2 linked regions of the Anolis sagrei genome follow. The protein of the gene in region 1 interacts with the protein of each later gene in a pairwise test. Links are inferred from orthologs where the notes say so. Each region holds a gene or a part of one and is shown on either strand. Other genes may lie near its edges.

What was found.
Region 2: the proteins of EEA1 (region 1) and RAB5B interact in binary tests that used the Homo sapiens proteins (3 or more experiments, as listed by UniProt). The link is inferred for Anolis sagrei from reciprocal best matches to the Homo sapiens genes EEA1 and RAB5B.

Annotation. Positions count from the first base shown.
Region 1 is NC_090025.1:154,439,630-154,455,234, reverse strand, and holds the start of EEA1 (early endosome antigen 1), read left to right. Parts: upstream 1-8,864; 5' UTR 8,865-9,044; coding exon 9,045-9,068; intron 9,069-15,605. UniProt on the Homo sapiens protein: Binds phospholipid vesicles containing phosphatidylinositol 3-phosphate and participates in endosomal trafficking.
Region 2 is NC_090022.1:146,516,290-146,531,009, reverse strand, and holds the start of RAB5B (ras-related protein Rab-5B), read right to left. Parts: upstream 7,984-14,720; 5' UTR 7,913-7,983; exon of another isoform or gene 7,836-7,912; intron 1-7,835. Other genes in the region: CDK2 (cyclin-dependent kinase 2), read right to left, coding at 14,310-14,414. UniProt on the Homo sapiens protein: The small GTPases Rab are key regulators of intracellular membrane trafficking, from the formation of transport vesicles to their fusion with membranes.

The sequences.
Region 1 (15,605 bases):
GAAGAGCTGCCAATTCCTGTCATAAATGCTGCATGTCCCAAGAGATTGTGATAGGTCATAAGAGTAAAAAGTTTATCCTATCTCAAATGTAGGTATATTACTTTTGCCTCCATTTCTCTTCCCACTTCCTAGTTTACAGGGGGAATGGTTGTGAATGATGTGTTGATTATTCAAATACCTGATTTTTAAAGGTGTGACAGAGAATAAGCAGTGCCTGCCATGTTGCAAAATACTAGATTTGGCAGTCAAACGTACAGGAAGGGATAGCTGTTATCAATCATATTGTGCTGCATTGAACTGTCTACTCCCCACTGGCCTTTACTACATCTCACCAACAGTGCCAGCCAAGTGTAAAAAGGCATGAATAGGTATTCTCACATGTGGGTTTGGTTGGTTGCATACTGCAAGTCGCTTCTGGGTGAGGGGAGATGAATCTTGCTCTTCCCAGTAAACTCAGGCAAAATCAAACTGCTGTGGCCTCTCCTAGCTTTTAAGAATGGAAGTGATTGAATCTATGATGATCAGCTTGCAAAGCATTTATTCTACCATCAAGTACATTTCTTCCCCAGTGTGATTTTCTGATTGTGTTCTGTGCTGTCGCACGCTGGGCCTGTGCATAAGACTGTAGACAGGACATAAATTCTGTGTGCCCAATGGGACGCCGGGGCTGCCTCAGATTAAAGGCCCTTGGATTCCCCCAAACAGAGTCTTTAGATTGCTTAAAGGTTCAACAATGTTCTTTATTAAGGAAAACAAACAGGTACTTTCAAGCTTTCTTAACAGTCTATTGGCTCTTGCAATCTTGTTCACTGGGAACAGGCACTATCTTCTTAACTGTAATTAACTAATGGGGAAATCCTTAACTTCTAATCTGGGCAGTCTGTACTTGCCTCTGTTGGCGTGGAGCCCCTGCACCCAGTACCAACTGCGTCTGGCTTCCGCGAGTGACCCTTACCAAGCAGAGCTTTGTAGACTTCCAGGGGGAAAAGAAGGAGTTCAGGTTTCAGTGATGGCTGGCTGAAGTCCTTCATCAAAGGAGCTGTAAGGCTGTAAAATCCTCAGCCAAGCTGTGGGGCCTTTTCTCCCCGGCCAAGCCGTAAGCTGTATATCTCCCCGGCCAAGCCGTAGAAGACGAAGCTTTCTACAGGAGCTCTTGGTTTTATGTCCTGTGCGAAAGGCTTCTCTGTGTGGACTGAACTCAAAAAGGCTCCTATTCCCACCAAAAACCCAAAGGGGGTGGGACCAGGGAACCTAACTATAATTGACAGGTGGCTTGCCCTATGATTGCAGCCAAAAGAAGCCACCTATCTGCAGAGTCCCTGAAACTTAGGACTACAACAAACACTCAATTCAAAGCAAACAAAATTGGAGCTCCTGGTACAGCTGTACCAGCACATGTTCAGATGTGGAGCAACCGATTTACCATATTTCTGATAACATCACATTTCCCTGTGCTATCATCTTTTTGTTGTTTGACTTTAACAGAATTTGACATGAGAATTTCATTTTTCAGCTTTGGTTAATTTTCAGTAACCTTATAAATGGTTCCTATTTCTATGTATGGTTGGGTAAGATGGACTATGAAGAAAGTTTATAGAAAGAAAATCAACTTATTTAAAATGTGCTGCTGGAGAAAAGATCTAAGGATACTGTGGCCTACTAAAAAAAAAAAAAACAAATAAGTGAGTCCTAGAGAAAAAACCCAAAAGCTGGGTTGCAGCTAAACATTAAAAAAACAACAACAAGATTATGGCAACAAGAATGATTGGGAACTGGGAAATAGAGGGAGAAAATGTGGAGGCAGTGACAGACTTTGTATTTTTAGATGCAAAGATGACTGCAGATAAAGACTGCAGTCAGGAAATTAGGAGACACTTATTTCTTGGGAGGAGAGCAATGTCCAATCTCGATAAAATAGTGAAGAGTAGAGACATCACACTGGCAACGAAGATCCGCATAGTTAAAGCAATGGTATTCCCCATAGTCACCTACTGATGTGAAAGCTGGACCATAGGGAAGGCTGAGCGAAGGAAGATAGATGCTTTTGAACTGTGGTGCTGGAGGAAAGTTCTGAGAGTGCCTTGGACTGCGAGAAGACCCAACCAGTCCATCCTTCAGGAAATAAAGTCCGCCTGCTCATTGGAGGAAGGATAGTAGAGGCAAAGATGAAGTACCTTGGCCACATCATGAGAAGAAAGGAAAGCTTAGAGAAGACAATGATGCTGGGGAAATGGAAGGAAAAAGGAAGAGGGGGTGACCAAGGGCAAGATGGATGGATGGGATCCTTGAAGTGACTGGATTGACCTTGAAGGAGCTGGGGGTGGTGACGGCTGACAGGGCGCTCTGGTGTGGGCTGGTCCATGAGGCCACGGAGAGTCAGAAACAACTGAACGAATGAACAACAACAGAGAAAAAAACCAACTCTCTTTAAAATCCACAATGACTAAATTGAGACTGTTGAACTTTGGCCTTATTATGAGAAAATATGACTCGCTATAAAATACAATGTTTGTATTTTAGGCAGTAAGAAAAGAGAAAGACGATATTCCAGATAGATGGATTCAATGTTGGAAGCCACAGCCCTAGTCTGCAGGACTATTGATAGCCAGTTGACTTAAAGGTTTCTCATTCACAGGGTTGCCAAAAATCAAACTAAACTTGACAACAGTTAATAACAACAACACTTCTTACATTATCTTGAGACTACATGATGTCTTCTAATTTAAGGTACATCCTTGAGCGTAACTGTGTTTGGGCTTCCCATATGGTTGGGCACTGTGGAACAAAAGATGCTGAATACACAGATTAGGCTCTTACATTTATTTTAGTTGTTTTATGAGGCACTCAAGACTTATTTGGTAATTAAAAATGGACAGTTTCAGTCCTGCTCCCATTCCTTTTCCAATCTATCTTTTTTCTGTGATCCCTGATGAATGTGGCAAGGGGGGGGGGGGGGGAAGCTTAAATTAATTTGCTGCATCATTTGCTTTCCCTCATACCAACATGGCTCAACTCCAGAGTGCATGAGTACACTGCAGTTATTCCTACTCTTAAACAAATTAGATATCATAATGTTAGAATTAGTTGGAGTAGGGCAGCTCGCCCTCTGCCAGATATAACACGAGGGTCTCAGGAGAAGGATTAAAATTGGAGGAACTGCAACACATGGCTTTGTACTGACTGACTAGTTTTTCTAATTGACCTGCTGCAGATTTTATAAGCAAGTGAGTGGAAAGGAAGAGAAATGGTAAGTCCCTGTCTGGAATATAAAAATGCAATGTGGGGGAAGATATTGTGTTTTGGATTGAAGGCTGGGTGCCCCCCTCCAACTATATGGAAGCTGTTGGGGCGGGGGGGGGGGAGGGGGGGGTTCTGGATGACAAGTGGATGGGCCGGGAGAATATTTCATTCTCCTCCTTCTCTAATTGTATTGATGTTGTGTTCTGATTTTGTACATGGTTGTTTGGGGGTGAGCTTCAATGCACCTCTTTGTAGTCCTCTATTTTTAGTATCCACTCACTGCTGCATATTTTGATAATTAAGTGGAAAGTTTATGTTAATTACTTTCTCATTTTCTCATCTCTTAGCTTCTATATATCTCTCTCCTCTCTCACAAACCCTGCTTTAGTGGAACTTGAAGTTTAAAACACATTTAGCAGACTTTGAGTTACTTTTCTGCAACCATGTAAAATGGAAACAGACATCACTTTTTAAAGTGATAGACATCTGTTTTAAAGTGCCACATTCAAACGCTTAAATACATTTTAAAATATGATACATGCAGAGAAGGATCTTATTTAATAAGTGATCTTTTAAGCTGGAAGTTTCATCAGACTAAATTTGGGATCCTAAATCTTGAATGCTCTTACCACTGCTTTCTGAGAACAGCATTTCTTGATTGTGAGTGCAGAGAGAGAGCAAATAGCAAAACTGTTGTGTAGAATGCTCTAATATATTATTATTATTATTATTATTATTATTATTATTATTATTATTTTACTGACATAAAAGCAGAGTATGTCACAGCAAACGAGATCTATATGCTGGATTTCGTATCAAAAAATCACAAGTCGAACACTTCCCACTTATTATTATTCTTTTCTTAGGTGATCCCTTGTCAGCCGAGTAGGATAGTCTTCCAGGATCAGAATTCTTGTGAGTCTGTAGGTGGCTGTGGAGCTCTATTCTTGATCTGCATCTTCTTCCGCAGCGAGGGCATTGATTTCCAGGTGGAAGGAGTTGGCTTGACGCGCCTTCCCCTTGGCACGTTTCTCTCTTTCACCATTCGTGCCTCTTCAAATTCTGCAGCACTGGTCACAGCTGACTTCTAGCTGGAGCGCTCAAGGGCCAGGGCTTCCCAGTTCTCAGTGTCTATGCCAGAGTTTTTAAGGTTGGCTTTGAGCCCATCTTTAAATCTCTTTTCCTGTCCACCAACATTCCGTTTTCCGTTCTTGAGTTCGAAGAAGAGCAACTGCTTTGGGAGACAGTGGTTGGGCATCCGGACAACGTGGCCAGTCCAGCGGATTTGATGGTGGAGGACCATCGCTTCTTTCAGCAAGCTGACGTTTGTCCGCCTGTCTTCCCAAGAGATTTGCAGGATTTTCCGGAAGCAGCACTGATGGAATCGTTCCAGGAGCTGCATGTGACATCTGTAGACTGTCCACGTTTCGCAGGCATATAGCAGGGTTGGGAGGACAATAGCTTTATAAACAAGCACCTTGGTATCCCTACGGATGTCCTGGTCCTCAAACACTCTCTGCTCCATTCGGAAAAATGCTGCACTTGCCGAACTCAGGCGGTGTTGTATTTCGGTGTCGATGTTGACTTTGGTAGAGAGGTGACTGCCAAGGTAGCGGAAATGGTCAACATTTTCCAATGTTACACCATTAAGCTGTATCTATTATTATTATTATTATTATTATTATTATTATTATTATTATTATTATTATTATTATTAGAAACACAACAAGATGAGTCCACAGCAGCCAAGATCACTCTGCTGGCTGTTGTATTGGATTACACGTCGGACACTTCCTAAGTGTCATCTTCCTCCTCCTCCTCCTCCTCCTCCTCTTCTTATTTTACTGACACAAAAACACAGTATGTCACAGTAAACAAGATATATATGCTGGGTTTCGTATCACAAAATTACAAGCTGAACACTTCCCAAGTGTCTAGGGCTCTGTGATGCATTTTTGAATGATGTGCGCAGATCCATGTAAGGTGGCCTTTTGCAGTTCACAGATCATGATTTTGTCAATGTTTATTGTTTCCAAATGCCGGCTGAGATCTTTTGGCACGGCACTCAGTGTGCCGATTACCAATGGGACCACCTGTACTGGTTTATGCCAGAGCATTTGCAGTTCGATTTTGAAGTTCTGATAATGGCTGAGTTTTTCCTGTTGTTGTTTGTCAATTTGATTGTCACCTGGTATGGCAACATCAATAATCCAAACTCCCCCCCCCCCCCCCCCCACAATCACGAGGTCTGGTGTATTATGTTCCAAAACTTTGTCAGTCTAAATTTGAAAGTCCCACAGTATTTTTGCATGTTCATATTCCACTACCTTTGCGAGTTTATGATCCCACCAGTTCTTTACTACTGGCAGGTCGTTCTTGTGGCATAAGTTCCAATGAATCATTTGGGCCACATAGTTGTGCCTTTGTTTGTAGTCTGTTTGTGCGATTTTCTTGCAGCAGCTGAGGTTATAATCAATGGTTTCATCCTTGCACAGTCTGCATTTTGGATCAGCTGATTTTTGATCCTGGCCTTGATTGCATTTGTTCTGATTACTTGATCCTGGACTGCAAGAATCAGTACTTCTCCTCCTTCTAATTATTATATGTTTTAAGGCACTAGAAACATATCTTATTTTTCTAACCTTGATTCATGAACTGATTTTTTGTGGTCAGTCCCTAATTACTGCACTTGAGTGGATCAGCACCTTTTCACTTCATTATTTACTTTTCAACACCACTTATTCTTCATTCACCTTAAACAAACAAGGAAACTGAAAGGTGAGTTATCACTACATGTTTGAAGAAAAAGAGAAAAATCCTGGATCAGCCAAGAAATTACAGGATGGAATCTCCTGCTTCAGGACAAGCTTTCATAAATTGACAATTTCCAGATATATTAGACATTCTTAGCCAACAATCATATTATGGGATATTCAGGAAACAGTGAAAGTGGGAAAATGGGAGAAGACAACCTTAAAAGGACCAAAAGAGCACTCACGAAGGAGTCAACAGTGAAATGTCACCCCAAAGGTGTAATCCTATGACTTTTTCTGTAAATCTCATGATTTGCTTTGAAAGCAAATGACTCTAACAATTAAAACATTAATGTGGTTCTATGTGTTGTTGAAGTGTGGAGGGATGGGTGTGTTGTGTTGTTTTGTGATGTGTGCTGATTTTGAGCCCTAGATAATATTAACAACAGATTGAACATTCCTAATCTCATTTTTTCCCCACGTAAGTGGCTGAGTAATATCTTTGTTTTCTAATACTTCAGTGTACACAGACTTTATACCATGTACAAAACTATTTACAATATTTTTCTTTAACTGCCATAACTCAATTCTGTTGGAATCATGGGAGTTGAAGTTTAGTGAGGTGCCATCATTCTTGGGTAGAGAAAACTAAAGATCTTGTAAAATTACACCTCTCATAAATTTATAGCATTGAGTCATGGCAGTTTAAATGATGTCAAATTGCAGAGTAGATGCACTCTAGGAAAATCTATATTTGCATATATGTACAAAATGAGATATCTCGGAAATAAGACCAAAGACTAACCATGAAATTTGTTTATGTTCATATATAACATATTCCACAGTATAGATGCACTCCAAGTTCTGAAAAATCCCCTAAATCCAAAATGCCTCCAGTCCCAAGCGTAAGTGATGGTCAACCTGTACAAACTCTACTGAGGTCAGAGCTGGAGGAGTGCACATGCCTCGGAGCCCTGTTGACTTTCAAATCACAACCTGGGAGAGATTGTGGAATGCATTTCCTCATTGGGCAAGCTGCAAGCTATGGAAACAGGAAATGGGAAGAAAGATAGACAGACTGAAGAAAGACAGGAGGAAAGGAGGGGGAAGAAAGAAGGAAGGCAGGAAGGGGGAAGAAGGAAAGGAAGGAATACATGAAGGAAGATGGGGGAGGGAGAAGAATAAAGGCTGAAAGGCGGGATGAGAAAGGAAAAAAGAAGTAAGGAAGAAGGAAAGAAGGGAGGAATGAGGGAGAAGAAAGAAGGAAGCAAAGAAGGAGGGAAAGAGGGGGAAGGAAGAAGGAAGGCAGGAAGGAGGGAGAAGGGGAAAGGAAGAAGAATGAAAGAGAGGGAGGTGGAAGAAAAAAGGAAGAAGGAGGGAGGGGGAAGGAGAAAGGAAGAGGGGAAGAAAGAAGGAAGGAAGGTGAGAGTGAGGGGGAAGAAAAAAAGGAAGCAAAGAAGGAGGGAAAGAGGGGGAAGGAAGAAGGAAGGCAGGAAGGAAGTAGAAGGGAAAAGAGAAAGGAAGAATGAAAGCGAGAGGGAAGGGGAAGAAAGAAGGAAGATGGGGAGGGGGAAGGAAGAAGGAAGGCAGAATGGAGGGAGGGAGGGGGAAAGAGAGAAAGGAAGTTACAAGGAAAGACAGAGTGAGGCAGGGGGAAGGAAAGATGGGAAGGAGGGAGTAAGGAGTGGGGAAGAAGGAAGGGAGGAGGAAGGAAGAATGATGGAGGGGGAAGAAAAGAAGGGATACAGGAAGGAAGGAAAAGAAAAAAACGCAGGAAGGAGGGAGGGGGAAAGAAAGAAGGAGGAAAGAAGGGAAGGATGGAGGGAGAAGGAAGGGAGCGGGGAAGAAATAAGGAAGGAATGAGAGAGGGAAGAAGAAGGAAGATCGAAGCAAGGAAGGAGGGAAGGGGAAGGAGGGAAGGGGAAGGAGAGGAAGGAAGGAGGAAGGAGGGGGAAGAAAGAAAGGAAGAAAGGAAGGAAGGAAGGAAGGGAGGGAGGAGAGAGAAGGAAGAAAGATGGGGGAGGGAGGGGGAAAGAAAGAAGGAGGAAAAAAGGGAAGTAAGGAAGGAGGGAGTGTGGGGAAGAAAAAAGGAAGGAATGAGAGAGGGAGGAAGAAGGAAGATAGAAGCAAGGAAGGAGGGAGGGGGATGGAAGGAGGGGGGAAAGTTAAAGAAAGGAAGGAAGGAGGGGAAGGAAAGAAGGGAACGGAGGATAGAGAAGGAAGAAAGATGGGGAGGGAGGGGGAAAGAAAGAAGGAAGGAGGAAAAATGGGAAGGAAGGAATGAGGGAGTGTGGGGAAGAATAAAGGAATGAGAGAGGGAGGAGGAAGGAAGATGGAAGAAAGGAAGGAGGGAGGGGGAAAGAAGGAGGGGAAAGAGGAAGGAAGAAAGAAAGAGGAAAGAAGGGAAGGAAAGAGAGAGAAGGAAGAAAGAAGGGGGAGGGAGGGGGAAAGAAAGGAAGGAGGAACGAAAGGAAGGAAGAAAGGAGTGGGGAAGAAAGAAGGAAGGAGGGAGGGAGGGAGGAGGAAGGAAGATGGAAGCAAGGAAGGAGGGAGGAAGGGAGGGGGGAAGAAAGAAAGAAAGAAAGAAAGAGGGAAGAAGGGAAGGGAGGAGAAGGAGGAAAGGAGGGAAGGGGAAAGAAAAAAGGAAGGAGGAAAGAAGAGAAGGAAGGAGAGCTGTTTCTTCCTTTGACAAGCCACCCCCCTTCCTGTGGCTGAGGGGAAACCGCCGGCCTCCTTTCCTGAGAAGAGGCCTCCTGGCACTCCTTGAGCTGAGGCTCGGCCGGCTTCCCTTTCGGGCCCAAGGAGGGACGCTCCGCCTCCATCTTGCGCAGCGCGGCCCTGGGAGGAGGTGCTTCCCTCGCTCCCTCCCTCGCTCCGTCCCCCGCCCGGGCCCTGGCAGGCAGCGCCACCCTCGGCTGTCAGGCGGCGACGGAGCGAGTTGGGCCGGGCCTGGGAGGCAGGCAGGCAGGCGGGTGAAGGGCTGTGCGGGCCAGGGCGCCGAGGGGCCCGCGCTGAGGAGGAGCCGCCGCCACTTCCGCCGCCGCCGCCACCATGTTTAGGCGGATTTTGCAGAGGGTAAGGGGCCGGGCGGGGGTCGGTGCCAGAGGTCAAGCGGGAGAAGCCACAGCAAGAGCAGCAGCCTGGGGAGGAGGAGGAGGAGGAGGAGGCACTACTACTTCCTGGAGCCGGGCTCGGGCAGCAGCAGCAGCAGAGCAGGGTCGCGCCCCCTCTGCCGCCTGGGGCCGCCTGGCCTTCGCCTCTCCCACTGCCTCGCCTCCCCTTCCATGCACAACGTGGAGCCCGCGCCCCTGCCGGCCTCCTCCTGCCCTCAGGCCTCGGATGAGGAGGAAGGCTTAGGCCTCCCTCCCTCCAGAGAGAGGGTCTCTCCAGGCAAAGCCAAGGGGGCCACTGGGGATGGTGTGGGGGAAATCTAGGCCCCGACTACTCGTGTTGGATTGGGCCACTTCCCCCTGAATGTCTCCACTGGGGTTTGGTTCTGCAGGGAGGGCCAACATTCACAAAGGCCCCTGGTTTTTAACGAATTTTTGACAAGATTTTTTTTTACACATAATGTAATGTGATTGTGATGCCTATAAATACTGTACAGACAGTCCCAAGTTACGAACAAGATTTGTTCTTAAGTTGAATGTGCATGTAAGTCGGAACAGACACATTATAAAGTTTAAATCCAGCCCCATATAGAGCAAAACCACCACCACATGGGTGTTAACCCTTCCCTATGCTATATATCAGTGGCTCCCAACCTTTGTTTTGACCAAGGCGCACTTTGGTCAGGGTCCACTTTGACCAGGCCCACTTTGTCCAGGGACCACTTTGTCCAGGGACCGCTTTGTCCAGGGACCACTTGACCAGAGCCCACTTTGACCAGGGACAACTTTGACCAGGGCCCATTTTGGACAGTTACCACTTTGACCAGGGCACACTTTGAACAGTGACCACTTTGAACAGTGACTACTTTAACCAGGGCACACTTTGAACAGTGACCACTTGACCAGGGCCCACTTTAACCAGGGCCCACTTTGACCAGGGACCACTTTGGAACATTAGTACCAAAAGGTTGGTTGACTCTGAGGAAATGAGCAGAAATAAAAAAATAAAACCAAATAAAAAAAGAAAGAAAGTTTGCAAACCGGATTTTCGTTCTCACAGCCCACAGCTGGGCTGTGGCCTACAGGTTGAGAGCTATCTATATCTGTCTGTCTGTCTGTCTGTCTGTCTGTCTATCTATCTTTGTCTGGAGAGAGATATATATGCAAGCTTTGAATAGTACAGGAAAGGGTTAACACCCCTGTTGGGTTTGTTTTCCTGCTTGTGCCCTTGTTCAGAAGAATCCAACTCACTTTCTGTCCCTTTGATAATTGGATTTTGGAAAAAATGACTTGTGGAAACAAGGATTGGGGATAACGCTCCAGTGGAGATGCCCCATGATAACTCTCTCAGGACTTAATTTCCCTTCCGAGGAGTAGATTTCTCTCACTTCCTGTTGTGGCACTCTTGTTCTTGACTATGAGTCTTTTGTTAGATGCTTGTAACTCTGGGACTGCCTATATACAACACTATGGTATTGCAAATTAAACATAAAAAAGGAGTTATCAAGTTTCAAAACCTCTTTGTGAGTTTTGACCCACCTTGTAGGACCTCAAAATCCATGGATGTTCAAGTCCTTTTATCCCTTTTATAAAATGGCACAATTGAAGTTTACTTTTTTGGATTTTTAAAAAATATTTCAAGCTGTGGATGGTGGAATCTGTGGATGCAGAATTCATTCTTATGGAGGGTAGACTGCGTTTCAAAGACAGGGTCTCTATTGAGCAGGCAGCATTTGAACCATATACTCTTGGAGATTTGCAACTGGAGTGGGGGCCCTTTTGATCAGCCTGGTGCGGGATAAGGACTAAGCAGAAACAATCTTTTGGTGGAAGGGGAGGTAACAGAAAGTAGGAATTTGGTGAAATCCTGTGGCACTCATTTGATGAAGGATCTGAAGCTGTTCCTACATGCCATCATGCCCCTGGGTTAAACATAACTGATTTTCATGTTTAGACTTGGATCTCATTTCCAAGATATCTCCTTGTGTATATATGTTCAAATACAGGTGTTCCAGAATCAGAAATCTGAAACACTTCTGATCCTAAGCATAAGGGATACTTAACCTGCAGTATGTGCAAACTAAATTATGGTAGCATGAGAGAGCTCCATTTTCGTGGTGGTGGGTTGAAAGAAAGTAGGAATTTGGTGAACACCTATAGAACCCATTTGGTGAAGGATTTATTCCTGGAGATGCCTCTGAATGTCATCATGCCATTGGGTTGCTACCAGAGAGCTGGCAAACTAAATTATGGTGGAATGGGGAGCTCCATCTTTGTGATGATGGTTGTAAAGAAACTAGGAGGAATTCATTTGGTGAAGGTTTTGTCTCTGGAACTGCTCCTACATGTCATCATGCCCCTGGGTTACTGTCAAATGATTGGCAGACTAAATTATGGTGTGAGTTTGGTGAACACCTATGGGACACATTTGGTGAAAGATTTGTCCCTGGAAGTGATTCTGTATGTCATCGTGACATAAGATTACTGTCAGGAAGATGGTAAATTAAATTATGGTGGTATGGGACGTTCCATCTTCATGATGGTGGAGAAATTAGGAGTTTGGTGAATATTTATGAAAGTCATTTGGTGAAGGATCAGACTCTGAAGTTCCCCTATCTGGCATCATTCCATAAACTGCCAGATTGTTAGCAGACTCAATGACTCTGTTATGGAGAGCTCCATCTTTATGTTGGTGGGTGAAGAGAAAGTAGGAGTTTGATGAACACCTGTGGAACAATTTGGTGACTGGTTCATTTCTGGAGCTGCCCCAACATGTCATTAGGCTATGGGGTTGTTTTCAGATGGTTGGCAGACTAAATTATGATGGTAAGGGAAGCTCCATCTTCATAGTGATGGGTGGAACAAGAAGGAGGAAAGAAGATGGGATGAAATTTAGAAGGGAGGAATTAATCATGACCAATATATAGAGCATTGGTTCTCAACCTGTGGGTCCCCAGATGTTTTGGCCTTCAACTCCCAGAACTCCTAACAGCTGGTAAACTAGCTGGGATTTCTGGGAGTTGTAGGCTAAAACACCTGGGGACCCACAGGTGGAGAACCACTGATATAGAGGATTCATACAGCTTTGAGGGAACTTTTAGCTTAGCTTCTGTGAATTTATCTCCAGTTGCTGCAAAGCCTAGTGCTAAAGGCCTCAGCACTTGACACAGAGTTAAGCCAGACTCATTTCTCCTTGTCGCTGGGAGGTGACTCCCTTTGAGGGCGGATGACATTACTCACTGACTCTTCCAAGGCTGCTGTTATTAAACATCACAGCAGATTACATCAGTGCGAAGTTGCAGGAGTCATTGCCTGTTGGCTCATACAGACTCTTGATATCTCACACACCTGTTTGCATACATTTGCAAACGTTGGTGGCAAAATATGGTACCACACATCCACTTATTGATAGTTTGTACAAGCTGCACGTGCCTGAAAAGGGCAAATACACCTGTACTAAGATGATATAAAGTACCTCCCCAGCCAGTAAAGCTCTTACAATTGTCTTTTGTAGTTGGTTTTTTTAAATAATCTTTTATTACTTCTCCAACTTACTGTGGCTAGGGGAGGAATCATGACATCCCCCATATGTTGTTGCAACTCTCAGAATTCCTCACCAGCCAAGTGGGTTTGCTGGTTAGGATCCTCGAGTTGCTTTCAAACAACATCTGGAGGGACATTGGAATGATTCCCCTGATTGTGGAAGGGTTTTGACTCAAGATTTATAGGTAATGTGAGCCCATATTCAGTCTGGCTTTGTAATTAAATTGTCTTCACTAAGAAGATTTAAGAAAGACTTGCCCATAAGTCTGGAGAATTGCTGTCAGTATATGGTACTGGATCAGTGTTTGGCTATTATATGCATTTTGGCTTTTCCATTCCACTGATTGCATTAAAAAGAGGAAGTTTTGGTTTCCTGTCGTAGTCACTGTGAATCGTACATTTGGTATCCCTGCGCTTGCGCAATACAACTTTACGGAACCTTCTAGAAAGTCAGAACACTTTAAGCCCTCAGCTAGGCCCGCCCCCCCCCCCCCCCCCGAGTATATATAGCCTGAGGGCGGGACTAGCCGGCAGTTCTCTTAATCCGCTCGCGTGTGAAGCAGCTTTGAGAACCTTCTGTCATTGCTAGATTGATCCTTTTGACTTGGACTGTTCTTCGACGACTCTTCTGGCAAGCCCTCTCATTTGACACTGGACTGCTTTTCGACGATCCTTTTGCCAAACCCTCTGGTTAGATCTGAATTGGACTGATCTCTAACGTTACTGACGCGGACCGGAATCGGCATTGAGCTATGGCAACCACTTCCTTCAAGAAGTGTACCAAATGCCCTAACATCCTACCGGACACCGATGGGCACACCCTTTGCCTTACTTGCCTGGGAGAGGCCCATCTGACGCAATCTTGCGCCATATGCCTCTCTTTTACTCCTCAAACGAGGAAGAACAGGGTGTCCAGGCTTCGGGCGGCTCTCTATGAAAGGGCTCTCATGCCTCCCGCCGCCCCCGTCCAACCGACCGAGCGTTCGGACCTACCTTTCCTGGCTTCCTCGGCCGGCCCGGCCAAGAAGAAGGACAAGAGGCCCAAGCCTAAGGAGGCTCAAGATGGCCGCCATGCTCCCGCTCAGGAAAGACCTCCCTTAGAAAGAGCGGGAAGAGTGCTGGATGCTCGCCGGCCAACTACGTTGCCGCCGACGCCGGAAGGCCCTCCTGGGGCCGTGCTCCCTCTACAGGCGGCCGAGTGTACTTTCGCGGCTCCGTCGACGTCGACGCCTCTATCCGCGCATGCGCCCGCTATGGCGCAGGCGGGCCAGACTCCTCCCACCGCCGCGATGCCGGTCGTCTCGCCCCCGCCCCTTAGCCGGGCCCGAGAGTCCCCGATGCCGCCTGATCCGGCGGGGGCTGTTGCTATGGCCTCAGGGCCGCTGCCTCTTCTGCCGGCTTCCCTGTTGGAGGGGATATTTACAACCCCGCCTCCCCCGACACCGGGCGAAGCAGCCGAGGTTGGTCCCGATCGTGCTCAACCAAATGCCGTGGATGCTCCCGGAGGGGGCGAACCCGCGGGAGAGGAAGCCTCTGCTGAGCCGGTACCGGCGCCTCCCGACCAAAGTTGGCCGCGCCACCAGGAACACCGCCGTAGCGCCAGACCGAGGAGGTCCAGGTCTCCATCTAGGAGGAGTGGGAGGTCGCGTCGCCGCTGGCGTCGGTCGGCTTCGAGGCGCTCGCGCTCCTCGTCGACCTCCTCCTCATCGTCTTCCTCCTGCTCCTCAGCCTATTCGAGGAGGAGCAGGCGATCCCGGGCCTCCAGACCCTCGCGGTGGCATCGCCCTTCTATGGTCCCTCCTCCCTGCCCCGGGTTCTGGCAGATGGGCCCCTCGGGCCAAATGGTGTTTGTGCAGGCCCCGGCACCCCCCGCGCCTCCCCTGCCGATGCCTTCATTCACAGTTCCAGCGACAACGGGGGCCTTACCACCTCCAGCTGCTTGCCTGTCGGTCGCAGCTGCCCAACCTCCCACCTCCAGTCAACAGGCTCCGGGGAGAGCCCCTCCCTGCGGAGCATCCTTTGCATCGACCTCGAATGACTCTAACGTGTGTGCTGTGTCATCTGTGCCAACCTCATCTTTACCTGTGTCGGCGTTGCCTACCTACACCCAGGACAGACTACCAGGGGACAATGTCACCGCTTTGGCTGTTTCACAAGCCAACTTTCAAGGTGATTCCACCCCCATGGGACTATCTAGGACACCCCTGCCTGAAGGCTCTGAACAAAGGGCCGCTGAATTGGCTAGCTCTGACTCTGACCATGAACAATTGGATAATGCTCATGTTGGGGAGGGGGAGAATGCCTCATTTATTCACCCTGCTGATTTCAATAAGTTTGCGGCACTCATTGATAGAATGATAAAGGCTTTGAACATCCCCGCTCCCAAACCCCCCGAGCATGTGGAGGACCCGATGTTCCCGTCAGAGGAACAGGTTGTAGCCCCCGCGTCACCTCTCCCGGTCCTCCCCTACCTTCTGAAGTTAGCTAGAGTGTCTGATATGTCCCCCTCCTTGGTCCCCGCCATCCCCCGGCGTTTGGACCTATTATATAAAATCGATGTGTCGTCGGCTAAATGGGTGACAGCCCCTCCTAAACCAAACACCGTGGTGGCCGAGGTAGCGAAGACCAAAAGACCCAAAAATTCACTTACCGCCCCCCCTGACAGGGAGGGCAAAAAGATCGATGCTCTGGGACGAAAAGCCCATCTCTCAGCAGGGCTATTTACCCGAATGGCCCACTATATTACTTATGCAAGTGGTTACCAAACCTTTTTATGGGGAAAGATGTTGGAATACATTGAATTACTGCCTGCCGACCGACAACGCTTTCCGAAAGCGTTGCAGACGGAGGCACTGATATTGTCTAAAATGCAGAAAGACTCGGCTAAACACATGGCCGAGGCCGCAGGCAACCTGTACTCCATCGCAACTTCACTGAGGAGACATGCGTGGCTGCGTGC
Region 2 (14,720 bases), on another chromosome or scaffold:
GACCTCAAACCAGTTCCAGAATCCGCAGTATCCACAGTTTGACAGCCATGGAGAATGTGGTTTTTCCCCCTCTTTTCCATGAGAAATGAGAACATGTACAATGGAGCCATACAAAGAAGCAGAAAGTGACAAGTAGCAGTAGCAAAATTCAATTACTCATCACAGGGGCTTAATTGGCTATCTGCTGCCCAGCCATGCCCTTGGGTGCTTTTTCATCAGCCACCCCCACCTCTGAATTTTTCAACTGACATCAGTGCAATGAGTGTCTACAATGCATTTCACATTCTGCAGAGCCAATTTCACTATGCAATGTAGTCACACTGCATCCATGCTGCAACACATTCAAGAGATTATTTTAGGATTTCCCCAATTTTGCTTAAAGTGTTTTAAACTTCTTAACACATACTGCAGCATGCTTTGGCAATGTGCATTGTATAGATGTGCAATCTGAAGCTAGTTTCCAAGAGCATCACATGGTCTGCGCAGATGAGCTCTGATCTAATGTTTTAAGTTATGGAAAGCAAATTTCAATTGAATATTAGAAGGAAATTATTGATAGTGAGAGTTTTCTAGATATGCCAATATCATCTTCTCCAGATGTTTTCAAAAAGAGGCTGGGCACAGACTTACTGGAGATACTTTAACTGGAGATCCTGAATTGACTTCAATGGCCATGATGCCCCTTTCAGCTCTTACGATTCTATCACAATAAAGAATATGGTGTTGATGAAGTGTGGTTCTCTCACTATCAACAGAATACATTTGTTGCACAATGGTGACGTTTTGGCCCCACATGTGTGGCGTGTCTTATGCATGATTTATGCCAACTGCAGTGTGCAATGAGAAATGTCATAGATACAGCAACCATCCATTCTTCTAGGATACAAAGTCCAAAATAAGAATAATAAGTCCATACCAGATCCTCAACATCAACTTTTTACCGTGAAAACTGTATAATGCTACTGTTGGTACTAGACCCTCTGAGCCCTTCCACACAGCCACATATCCCAGAATATCAAGGCAGAAAATCCCACAATATCTGCTTTGAACTGGATTATTTGAGTCCACACTCAGATAATGTGGTATTTTCTGCCTTGATATTCTGGGATTTAGGGCTATGTGGAAGGGCCCATAGTTATGGGGATGGTCAAGTACTAAAATGACAGAATTATGCACAGGAGTTTCCACAAGTATGACTGCTCAAAAAGTTCAGAATCAATATTTTTGGGACTCTCCCATATTTATTTACCATATGTATATCCCGCCTTTCTTACCCCAGAGGGGACTCAAGGCGGCCTTACAACAGACAGCGGTTTGATGCCATACACACATATATCAAATAAACTATTACAATTAAAACCAAACAATTAAAATCATGCCATTATATCAGTTAAAAACACATAGTATCAGTTCAATACAAAATATACAATCAATATATAATAAAATAATTAGTGGATAGTTTAAAATTCATAATTTTAAAATAATCTGCATAGGTTAACCTGAAGGGATTGATCTTTAATGCTAATAGATGGCAGTATAGTACCAACAGCATCATTCATCTTACTTCAAAATCTTATCTGAAGGCAGTGGAAAACATGCCGAATCTATCACTGTATCAAGTCATCGCCACTACAACTACTGTAATTTCTGCTTTCATGTTTTTCCCACAGATTCCAAACAAGACTCCAATGTTTGAAACAAGCAAATATCATCAGTGAGAGACTCTAGTTCATTCCTATTTAAGCATGTAAAATGAGCACATTGGAGGCGAGTTGTTCTGTTTGACTGGGATCTGTTTGCACCAATTCAAGGATAAACCTGAAAGAAGTGAGATTACATGTTTACCCATCCTATTGTTCTACTCTTGAAGGGAGTGCCTTTTAATGCTGGCAGAGCAAGATGGGAAGCTGACATTTGCCAGGAATATTACATCAGGGTCAGAGAACAAGAGGCAGTTTAGATATCTGGCTTGATTTTTCCAAGGGGCAAAGACCTCACTAAATTAAATGTCTTCCCTTGACAGATTATTTAATTAGATTATGGCACAAAAGACAGTTAAATGAACCACAAAAGTAATCTTTCAGAGAGAGTATGTCTGTCACCCTATCAGCAATGTACACTTTATACTGAGATCTGTGATAGCAGTCAGGATATCCTTGTGTTAGGGTGCCTATCAAGCGCTGTCCCAGAACGCTTTTAAAGGACTAACATTTTTCTCAACAGCACTGACTTATTCTACGGGTTCTGTAGAATAAATAAATACTGTATCTTCAACTGTCACATATCTGGTCTTCATATTTTAAACAGAGATCTAGTGGCTTTCATCAGTTTAATAAAGGATTGAAATATGCACCAAGACAATAGCCATACAAAGCACACTGCTACTAAATTCTTACAATTTGACACTCTGTGTTGAATCACCATTCAATACTGATTGAATGGGTCTACACAGGTTGGGGCTAAATAACAGGATGCCACTCTATGGTATACATCTGTGACAGTGAAGCAGAACTGAAACTCTTCCAGAGAAGGATGATATCATTGGCAGTAATCAAGAACCCTCATTTTTGCCTTGGAATATATTAATTCATTTGCACGTGTCTGCCCCACACCAACTCTCCTCTAACTGCTCAAAGAACAAAACCAAGTGGCTTAAACAAAATATGTGAAGGCGCACACATTAGCATGCAGTACAAAATGCATAGGCTTGACAACTTGGAATCTTTTTCTGATAAAATGGAAGGATAGAAGACATACTCATAATCTTAACATGCACCCTATATACTCATGTATAAGTCTAGAAATTATAGTCAAAAAACCAACCCAAAAAACCTGAGTTGGTGTATCTATGAGTCAATATGAGTGTACTTGACTTTACATCTCATTGAAAAAAAGGAATGATTCCCTTCTCTGAGAACAGTGGTGAAAGGTAAGAGCTTAGTCCATCCTGGGAGAACCTAAGAGCTGAACTGATCTCTACTCTCTGTGCCGTGGTGCCAATTCTGGAATTTTGAGTACTTCATCCTGAGACAGAATTGGTGCTTTCCCCTTTCTGTGGAATGACCCTCAACTTATCTACAGGGCATATATATATATACACACACACACACACACCCATGAATTTGGCCCCAAAACCCACCCTTGACTTTTACATGAAGTCAACTTATGCATAAGTATATATGGTAAGTACAAGCTCATATATGTGAGCAAAGCAAAAGAAAATACATATGTGTTCTTCCTTCCATCAAACACCTATACTTTCTGAACAAAGTTCAAGATTGGTTTGATCTGCAATCAATTGAGATATTCGATAATTTACAACACATCAGGTTTCTGCTACTGCTCTTGACTCTGAAATGCCTTCCTGCAATCTTCCAGGAAAAAACACTGGCGTACTGGTTGTGATCAAAACCCTAAATATATTTAAGCACTGCACACCCTTGAAATTACCTTGTACTTAATATTTTCAACTCTGATCAATAGAGACCATTTAACAGCATGATCTGAGCACAATGTCTGAATAAAATATTAAGGCAAGGGTTACTCTATATTTATGGATTTCCCTCCACCTGAAGATCAGAGCAAAGGTTTGAATATATTTCAGAAGCAACATTGTATCTTTAGGTGTGGAGTCTATTTGGGGACCTGGGTTAAAATCTATAGTATTATTTGGTGCTTTGCATCTCCAAAGTGAGTCAGATTATTGTAAACTTAAATATAACATATACATGTTAGTTCATTACTTAAGAAGAACAAGGTACTACAAAGCATTCTAGATTTTAGTATTTCAGTGAGCTTCTTTCACATATTGCTTGAGCACTTTTCAAGCAGATTAAGGACAAAGGACACCAGTTTCAAGGCAGTGCAAGGCAGGAAGTGGACTGGCTGTTTCATATGGGTCAGCTAGCAGGAACAGCAACAAATCCCTGTATTGCTAAGTGGCCAAAGAAACTGCTGTGCTGGATCAGACCAAAGGTCAGCCTTACATTCTGCTTTCAAATTCAAGCAGCTGGGAGTCAGAACATGAAGATAATAAACACCCTCTGCCACCTGGTACTTGGTTAAGAGATAACCTTCTCCAACAAACCCAAAGGTGCTCTTTTAAGGCTTTTGGGAATTCTCTTGTCTTCCACTGCAGTCAAATTACCAAAATTACCAGCAACACTTGGAATTGGATTTTTCCTCAAAAAGAAAATAGGAACCCTTTCAATTTCTAGGTTGAAAGAAATTTACAATCACCAATACAAATCTTGTATATAGGATGACAGAAATGTGTGACAATTTAAATGTTGTTATGCCCTACTAATGGGACATTTTTAGAAAAATAAGATTACTAAAAACAGATAATCCTTGATTTGTTATATCTAATACATGTATTACTTTTTCTAGCTACATACACTCATGGAGGACAGCCAGCCTAAGCAAACAACACTGTTAGTGCCACTTTACAAAGAACTTTGTTGAATAAATACTGGAAATAAATATTTAAGAAATGACAGGAGAAAACGGAGTGCAAAATAAAGACTACACATTCCAATTATTATTTTAGTGGAGGCAAAAGACACATAGGCACCTAACAGCCAGAAAAATAGATGTAAAAATAAATATTACTAGAAAGAAATCAAACAAACATTCAGTACTTTGCTTAATAATGGCACACTATTATGCAAGTTCTGACAAAATACTATTGAGAAATTATGCTTTCAGCTCTTTATACCAACACTACTTCACATTAGTTTGACTGTTCTAAACAGTTCTGTAATCTCAATAAGATTCTGCAATGAAGTTTAACTTTTTTACTGGGGGCGAGGGTGGGATATAATGCTATACAGAATGTCTTATCCTCTTAAGATAACATCACACTTAAGCTAAACAATCTAGCCACATCAACTACAAAATCATGCAAGAAATGTTGAAATTGGCTGTCATTTAGCAAGCAAAGGTAAATTGGTAACAGTAGCAAGGAATAATAACAGAGGGAGAAGCAACTTCTTTCAGAAGATTAGGGGAAAGTCTCCACAAGTAAACAATATAAGGCTTATCATTTGCTATGCTGCAGACTGGACAAGAGATTCTAGGACAAACCCACACTGAATGACTTCATAACTCTTTGCAATCTAATCCGAATGATTCACATCCTTTCTTTTCTTTGCAGTCCTACAAATGGTTCAGTATCAGATTCCAAACCTGAGTAACAGCAAAGGGAAACCCATGGAGGAAAAAAACCACTGAATCTAAAAAAACAACCACTCCAATAAAATAGCCCATGGAACATACCAGTGACTTATCCAACTAGTCTGAACATAAGATGGACTGCACAGTTTACTTTTTAAAACAATTCAGCACTGATAACTTCAAACCACCAGGCTCTGTGGTGCTTTATGAGAAAAGGATATATGTTAAGTATTTGCAACTAGCCATCTCTGTCTTGATATTCCTGAACAACAAAAGAATGTAATTTTTTCTTCACTGTTTCTCTGGGCAACTTGCCCACACCAATGCATTTTTAATAGAGACAGGCTGTAAAAAGAACAGATTATAAGCGCCTTAAAGCAGGAAAAGATCCATGAATCCCTAATGTGCCCATCTCTATAACATTCATGAGATAAATACCAGTATTAGTGAAAGCATCAGACATGCCCAACCAGAATTCTGGCATCAGACATGACCAACCAGAACTCAAAGGTTCTCTATGAAAGCTGTTTGCACTGTGGGTGACTTTGCTTTAAAAATCAGACAATAGCCTGAAATACTTTCCTTCTCCCAAGGACCCATTTTTATAGAGAGAAACCATCATGATTTATTAGAGTGCTCAATGGTGAAAAGGGGCACTTCAGTGCTGCGGGAAAGCACAAAGGTTTCCAAAGTAACAAAATATGGACAGTCCAAAGAACTAGCAGCTTCAACAGGTCAAACAACTCAACTGTAAAGAAACTAGGGCAGCAGCAAGCTCTACTACCCAGGTGCTGTGTAGCGTCCCACCTTCATTATGCAAGAAGCAGGTCTTGTGGCTTTGATGTGACTCCTCTACAACTATGTTACCAGGTCAGGATTTCGGGAACAAAAAACAGACTTTGGTTGCTACCGCACTGTAGGATCAATGCATTTTGACACCACTTTAACCTTCATGGCTCCTGCTCTGGAATCCTGTGATTTGTTGTTTATTGCGGTACGAAGGCCCTTTGGCAGAGAAGGTTAAAGACCTTGCAAAACTACAACTGCTAGGATTCCATAGCAAAGAAACATGGCAGTAAAAAGTGGTGACAAAATGTATTAATTCTACAGTGTAAATCAGGCACCCTTAAACTGCAGCCCTCCAGCTGTTTCGGTCTCCAACTCCGAGAAGTCCTAGCCAGCTTCATCAATGGTCAGGAATTCTGAGAGTGGAGGCCCAAATAGCTGGAGGGCCACAGTGTGATGATACCTAGTGTAGATGTATTTTTCAGCTAGTACACTGACTACAGAAATATATCCTGCTGTAGTCTTTGATCCAAGGCTATGGTTCCCAACCTTTGCGCTGTCAAGTGTTTAGCACTTCAATTTCCAGGAACCCCAGTCAACTTGGGAAACTGTCAGGATTTTGGGGAATTGAAGTCCAAAACCCCTGGAGAACTAAAGGGTGGGAACCATGAACATCTGGCAAGGTTTCTCAGCAGCCTAAATCTAAAAGCATTGCTACCAAGAGTGTGATTAACACATACAGGCTGCTGTGGCTACCTGGCACCCAGGGAGTGCTCCCAAAGGCTATGGCACTCCGGCACTTTTGTTTCCACATCATTCAACCAAACCACAGTTTGCCCCCACAGAAAGCAAGGCGCAAAGCTGAGAACTACACAGATGTGGAACGCAACCTCTCCAACCTCCTTCCACCCCTCTATGGCCCCTTCCATACATTGGAATCAAACCCCACATTTTCTGCTTTGAACTGGAATATATGGCAGTGTGGACTGAAGGTCCCTTCCATACATCCATGTAACCCAGACTATCAAGGCAGAAAATCCCACAATATCTATCTGGGACATCTGAGTCCACACTGCTATATATTCCAGTTCAAGCAGAAAATGTGAGATTTTATTCAGCTGTGTGGAAGGGTCCTCTAACTCCGGTCCTCCAAAATCTTACTCCAGTACTCAGACCACTATAGCATGCATTATCTACTCAGGGGCCTTCCACAATGCCCTATAACCCAGATTATCAAGGCGGAAAATCCCACAATATCTGCTTTGAATCTGGGTTATCTGAATCCACACTCAGAGAATGTGGGATTTCCTGCCTTGATATACTGGGATAAAGGGTTGTGTGGAAGGGCCCTGGGCTATATGAGTCCACACTGCCATATATCTCAGTTCAAAGCAGAAAATGTGGCATTTTATACAGCTGTGTGGAAGGGGCCTCAGATAGCCCAGTTCAAAGCCGATATTGTGGGATTTTCTGCCTTGATATTCTGGGATATAGGGCTGTGTGGAAGGGTCCTATCTCTAATTAACACAAAACCCGCCTCTATTCAACCTAATTCCAAGGCTGAGAGACCCCTCACACCGGCCCCGTGGCCCGAGGGTGCTTGCCGGGCCTTTCCTCCTTGCCTAGCCCCCTTCCGCCATTTCCTCGCTCCCACCCAGCCCTAGCCAAGCGCCCACCCTTCCTGGCTCGGGGAAGGAGGGCCTACCCCAAGCTGCTGCCGCCGCCGCCGCCCGCTCTGAGGGGCCTCCTTCCTTCCTTCCTTCCCGCCCGCCCCTCTCCGCTCCAAGGCCCCGGCTTCTCCTCCTCCTCCTCCCCCGCAGCCCCCTCCCGATCGCCTAGGCAACCAAGCCCCCCTCCCACCCCTCGAGGGCTACCTGGGACGGCTCCGACTGCCCCCCTCCGCGGGCCCCGACTGCCTCGCACACAAACAAACTCCCTCAACCAAACCCACCTCTGCACGCGGAGGCGGCGCTGGAGCGCGTCCCCGGCCAATGGGCGCAAGGCACCTGGGGCACGGACACGCCCTCCCGGCCAATCGCCTTTGAGGAAACCGCGCCCTGGCCCCGTCCGGCTAATTGGGGCTCCGCGAAGGGAAGAATGGGCAGGAGCGGTCTCGCCAATGGCAGGAAGGAGGCGGGAGAGCCAATTAGAAAGCACCTCGCGGGGAAGGAAGGGAGGGCATTTGCTTAAACGACGAGGGAGCCCACCAGTAGGAAGGCGGCTTCATAAACAACACATAAGGTGACCTAAAGGGGGCGGGACCATGGAGCCGCTAAAACCAATTAGAACTCTAGAATTCAGTTCTCGCTGTCCATTCCCAGGCCGGAGGCCCTCGAGGTCGGGGGAGGGAGAGTGATTGACAGAGGAGCTGGTGGGCGCGGCTCGAACTTTTTTACCCAATCAGGGAGCGCGCTGTCACGCACGCCCAATGAGAAGTGACCTCGGATTTGAGTGGCAGCATTTTGCTCCTTAGAAAAAGGGTGCCTAGGAGGCGCCTAACCCTTGACCTCTTTGGGTCCCTTATAATCAGGAGAAGATCTTGGAGTCCGGAAGTATATCTAACTGGGGAGCCGTGCTCTCGGTGGAGAAACGCTTCAGTGGTCAGTGCAGGTTGGGCCCCCTTCCTGGGATCAGGCGTGTTTGGGATTTCAGATTGTTTCATATTTTGTACTTGCATGTATTTATTTATTTACGACATTTATATGCCGCCCTTCTCACCCTGAAGGGAACTCAGAACGGCTTGCAAGATATTTGTCTATATACAATATATTATATTATTAGCATAGTACAATATCAGTATTATATATTACGATATTGTACTATCTATATAAATAAAAATGTAATGTTCGTTTGTGGGGTTAACATAACTCAAAAATCACTGGACGAATTGACACCAGATTTGGACACTACACCCTTAACAGACCAACGAGTGACCGTCACTCATAACCGCCGCCGCCCCCCACCCACCCAAATAGTGGAAAGGACTTAAAAACCCCAAAAAGGTAAATGATGAAAAGCTAAATGACGATACAGAAAAAAAGGGAGAGAAGGAAGGGGAGAAAGAAAGGAAGAAAGAAAAAGGAAAGAGAGGAAGGGAAGAGAGAAGGAAGCATGGAAGCAAAGGATGAAGGAAGGAAAGAATGACGACCTTATGTAATTATATGATTGTATTTTAATGTGTTAGGGTATTATGGGATGTGATGTTTTAAAATATTGTTTATGAATCTTCTGTTGTGAACTGGACTGAATCCCTCTGCGGAGGTCGAGAAGACCGGTATATAAAAGTTCTAAATAAATAAATAAAAAGTAGAGAAGGAAGAAAGGAGAGAAAGAGAAAGGAAACGAAAAAGGGGGAAAGAAAGAAGGACAGAAAAAAAAGGAAAGGAAGGAAAGAGGGAGTGAAGGAAGGAAAGAAGCAGAAAAAGAGAGAAGGAAAGAGAGGGAAGTGAAAAGCAAAGGAAGGAATGAGGTAGAGAAGAAAGGTAGAGAAGGAAAGGACAGAAAAAAGGAAAGAAAGAGGGAGCGAAGGAAGGAGGGAAAGAAGCATAAAAAAGAGGGAGAGAAGGGAAGAGAAAAGGAAGGATGGAGGCAAAGAGCTAAGGAAGGAAAGGTAGAGAAGGAAGAAAGGAGAGAAATAGGAAGGAAAATAAAAAGGGGGAAGGAAAGAAAGAGGTAGAGAAGGAAGGAGAAAAGGAAAGAAATAAGGAAAGAAGGAGGGAAGGAAGGAGAGAAAGAGGGAGGAAAGGTTGGTCACAGCAACGCATGGTGGGTACAGCTAGTATCTTTCTATATAAATAAAAATGTAATGTTCATTTGTGGGATTAACATAACTCAAAAAACACTGGACAAATTGACATCAAATTTGGACACAATGCACATATCAGGCCAATGAGTGGCCATCACTCATAAAAACACTGAAAAACACAGCAGAAGAGACTTAAAAAATAAAAAATGAATTACAATGCACGTGCATAACCACATATATATACACAAACACACATATGTACACATATACACAAATATATACACACACAAAACACATATATACAGACTGGGCCACAGCAACAAGTGGCAGGGGACAACTAGTACCATTATATTGTAATATTATTAGTAACAGTACATGTAATATAAATATCTTATTATTAGTAGTAGTATTATATTGCATTGCATTACAATATTATTAATATTATATGTATATGCAATGTATTATATTACATTATATATTATTAGAATAGCACAGGAGACAAGGTGGAATTGTCCCCTGGCCCCCTCTCTCTTCACTCTGGCCCAGAGCAGCAGATATCTTGGAGATGGGGCCCAAGTCTAGACACACACTCCATTGGTGTTTCATATACATCTTATGCACATAGCCTGAAGGAAATCTGTCAAAATACGTATGACTGAACATAAAATATAATAGGACAAATTATCCATAAGATAATAGAACATTTAAACATAAAGTATAAAAATTATAAACACCTGATAAAAATCACATGATCCAAACTGGTAGATCGAGGCATTCCAAATGTCGATTACACATATTCCATATACAATATAATACAATTCCATATTCAAGTTACACATATTCCATATGCAACATAATACAATTCCATAACACAAACAGAGGTAAAGACAGTTTTCTCATCACATTTCCAGCATCTTGGAGCTGTGTTCAACTCTGGTGAAGAAGGGTGTTGCTGTCTTCCATGCCGAGGAGCTTTCCTCCGATGTCCTTAAGGGCATCTTTATTCTCTCCCCCCTAAAAGCGGTACCTATTATATCTACACGCATTTCTGCTTTCAACCTGCTAGGTGGGCACGTGAGCTGGGTCTAATGGCGGGTGCTCACACTGACCTGGGCTCAAACAGCTGACCTTCTGATCTGCAATATTTTTATGCAGCACAGCAGTTTAGCCTGCTGCTCTAAGCCCGCCCCCTGATAAGTTCAACCCATCAGCAATGCGTCCGACATTTTGATATACGTTTTATGCACTGCTTTTCTTGATTAGCAGATGGACATTATGCTTCTCAAAATGAATTACTATCTGAACCATGCATCCTCAAACTACAGCCCTCCAGCTGTTTGGGCCTCCAGTTTCCAGAAGCCCTCATTGGCCTGTTCAATGCTCATGAATAACTGACTGAACCTGTTTTAACTCATTTGGCAATTTGAGTGAGGGAGCTGCATTCACAAGCCAAATCACTACCTTGCTGAAATCAATTCTCACTTTGTCTTGTAGTAATAGCTGTTACTTTTATCACACTGAATCCTAATAAACGCAAACAGGAAATCTGTAGTCCAAACTATTGTCTACTCATGGCAAGGATGGGAACCTTCAGCTCTTCAGAAGTTTTTAGGATGCCATCAGTCGCAGTTAATATGATCAATGATCAGGCACCCATTTTAATCTTTCAAACCTCCATTTCTCATTTCTTGACAATGAAATTCTTGGTAATAATTGATCAGAAAGACACAAAGAGAATTCAGGTACATATAAATGCTCTATATGCTGCTTACAGTTTCTGTAGCTATAGGACACTTACTATCAATTTAAACACTTGAAGATAGCATCCAATAATGAAGTACATGTTCTGCAGTTGGGTTAATATCACATCGCTGCTGTATGTGTTGTGCCTTGGAAGTAAATGCCCTTTTGGAGCTTTTTAGGAATGGTCCTAGCACTAAAGAACACCTCTGATGTGCAAAAGCTTTCAAGTTCAGTTCAGCTTGACAAGACAAAAGATTCTGGTCTGAAATCCTGGAAAGCTGCTATTAGTGTAGTAAGTATTGACCTAGGCTGGCTGCTCATTTGACTTCATATAAGGCAGCTATGTAAAGAATATGAGTTTAACATATAGAACCGCTTCCACATGGGCCTATAGGTAACTAGCAGTATGGAGGTAATTCATTGGTTCTCAATAAACTGGCTCCCATATTTTCACCACTTAAGATTTATATGGTTTGCAGGACTTGTGTGGTTCAGCTTTCTCTATTTCTTTGGGTCCACAGACTCACGAATCGAGTGTATCCCTGATAGGCTGCAGTGTAGATACAAGTGTGCAATAAATCAGTTTTGTTTGAAGAGAACTAATATTAATAGCACAAAACGGTTCTACCTCGAGAGATGCTCACAGTAATCAGTGGTACTCAACCTGTGGGTCCCCAGATGTTTTGGCCTTCAACTCCCAGAAATCCTAACAGCTGATAAACTGGTTGGGATTTCTGGGAGTTGAAGACCAAACCACCCATGGGCCCACAGGTTGACAACCACTGCAGTAGATGAAGAGCTCAGATTTCATTACATCATCCAATCGGAAAAATACTCAAGAAATGCTCCTTTAAAACTACAAAATACTTTTAATTATGCATAAACAGGTGTTAGTTAAAAATCAAGTCTTACAAAGATCTACAGACAAAAATATTTTTTCTTTAAAAAGTCCACATTGAAAAAATGCCAAGGTGCTTAGACTTACAAGCTTTTTACAAATCAGAAATTCATCAGCCTTATAAATATATCTATTACTTCCAACCAAAAGATCAAGAGAAGAAAAAAAGAAATGTATCCAAATATTGTATATAGCAGTGGAGTCAGCGTTTATGATGAGCATTTTGCTGATTCATTTTGGAATTTACACTTCTATAACAAGCATTCCCATGTTAGCCCAACTGATGTGAAATGCCCCCAACTCTCTCAAGTGAAGACCACTGCATGTCACCTGTATTTTTCAAGATATACAGTTATAGATTATATAATAATCTGTTTCAGTAATTCTGTTGCTGAGTTTGAGTTGAGGACAATTGAACCTTACTTTCCTTAGGACACTTCTTTTTTTGATAGAATATATGTCACCCAAAATAGAATTTTACAAAATAAAGAGCCCACCCCCTCCCCCCAGCTCTCATAATGCTGCTGGTGATAGATTGATCCAAATATCTAGAGGGTAACATTTCAAAATCTATCATAGATAAGGCAAAAACATTGGGTTTGTTCATGTTATTGGATTGACTAAGGTTTCAATGCTTAATATTGCATTGAGACAAAACCTTAATGTTGTAGGCATGTCTTCAAAACTAACAAAAAGGGTACCTATAGCTCTTCACCAATGAAAATATAATAATTACTTCTTTTGACAGTATATAAACCATTTTATGGAATTTGCCTGATAAATCCATGGGTTTAGCTAATTTTCCCCTTAGACATAAACATCATTGTTTTTATTATATCTCAAGTCCTTTGAAACCATGCAGTGTGTTTCACTGAAAGAACCCCAAATGCTTTACTTCCTTCAAACCAAAATTGGCATAGTGATAGAAACTGTTTCCAGACATCCATCTTTGTGCAGGGCAGCACAGGTTACAAATGTGATGACATTTTCAGTAAGATACACATCAGTAGTAGAGAGACAGAACTCTCTACTCCTGCAAGCCAAGGCAGATTTGCTCCAGTTGTAGGTATTTGGAAGAGATCTTTGAGATCAACGACAGTTGAGCACAAGACACCATTGGAGAAAGGCACCTTTGCAGAGAGCATGGCCTGATGAAGTTTGTAACCATATCTATTGCATTAATGTTTAATGGGCTATAAGCATATAGACAGAGACAAATAATACATGTACAGGAGTAGGATGTGGAAGGATGAGTGGAACAGTGATAGTATGTACCCATTTGCCCAATAAACACTAGTACATCAGAAAAGTCAAGAATGTCTAGTGACATGGCAAGCAGTCCTTTAGATGGTTAGCAAGACATTCTGAGTTCCCAGAGTGTGAGCTTCATGAGCCCCAAGGCACGTTAATTTTGATTTTGTAGAATCATTGGCCAGAGTAAAATATTTTCCTGTTCACAATAAGTGGAGAGTTAAGTGCACAATTTTCTTCTGAAGGTCTGGAAGGAAAAAGAGGGCAAGGTTCTGCTAGCACCGGAATGCACTTGACAGAATGCCAGGCAGGCACCATAGTTGAAGTCAATATCCTGATATGAATAAGAAAAATGGTTTCTTGCTGGCAGCAACATTTTCTCAAAGAAAAGCACAGCTGAGTTCTATATTGAAGATGAAACCAGAGGGTCGGCCAAGACAGAAGATGCTCTGCGAGAAGAGCAAGAGGTGAGGGTTTCTTCCACAAAATGAGTCCTTGAAGCAGGTGGCTCTGGAGGCCCTTCCCTCGTGTCACAAGGCTCCCTGGAAGCACCCAGTCTTCAGCTAGTGCTTTCAAATATACCTCAGAGTATAAACTATTAAAGTGTAGACTCTGTGCCAAGAGGAACCATAGCATGCCATTCAAGATTAAGTTGAAAAGTTAAGTGCAAGCAACCAGTGCAGTCCAAAGAAGCAGCATTGCTCCTGATTCTTACAGGCGGAGGTGCGGCACAGCTTTTGTGACATCCCGGAAGAAGGGGTGGCTGAGAGCTGTCTTGGCTGAGATTCTCTTGTTAGGATCATAATGCAGCATTTGCTAAAGGGGAAAGGAAGATGAGTTATAATAACTGGCAGGAAACCCCACCCACCCCCAAATAGGATAAATCAATCACCTCCCTCTTCCAGACAAGAGCTGTGCCTCTCAGAACAAAGATATGATTCTATATCCAAATCAAGAGATGGGACAAAAACAAGACTACCAAGAAAAAATAATGATCCAAGAAACCTATCCCTTAGTTCTTTCTCTCTTGATGTCTTCTCTTCTCGCTTATACCATCCCTCTATCCACTCTGTTTTGTTCTCACCCCTTTCTCCTCCACCAGCCGCTTTTAAATAATATAAT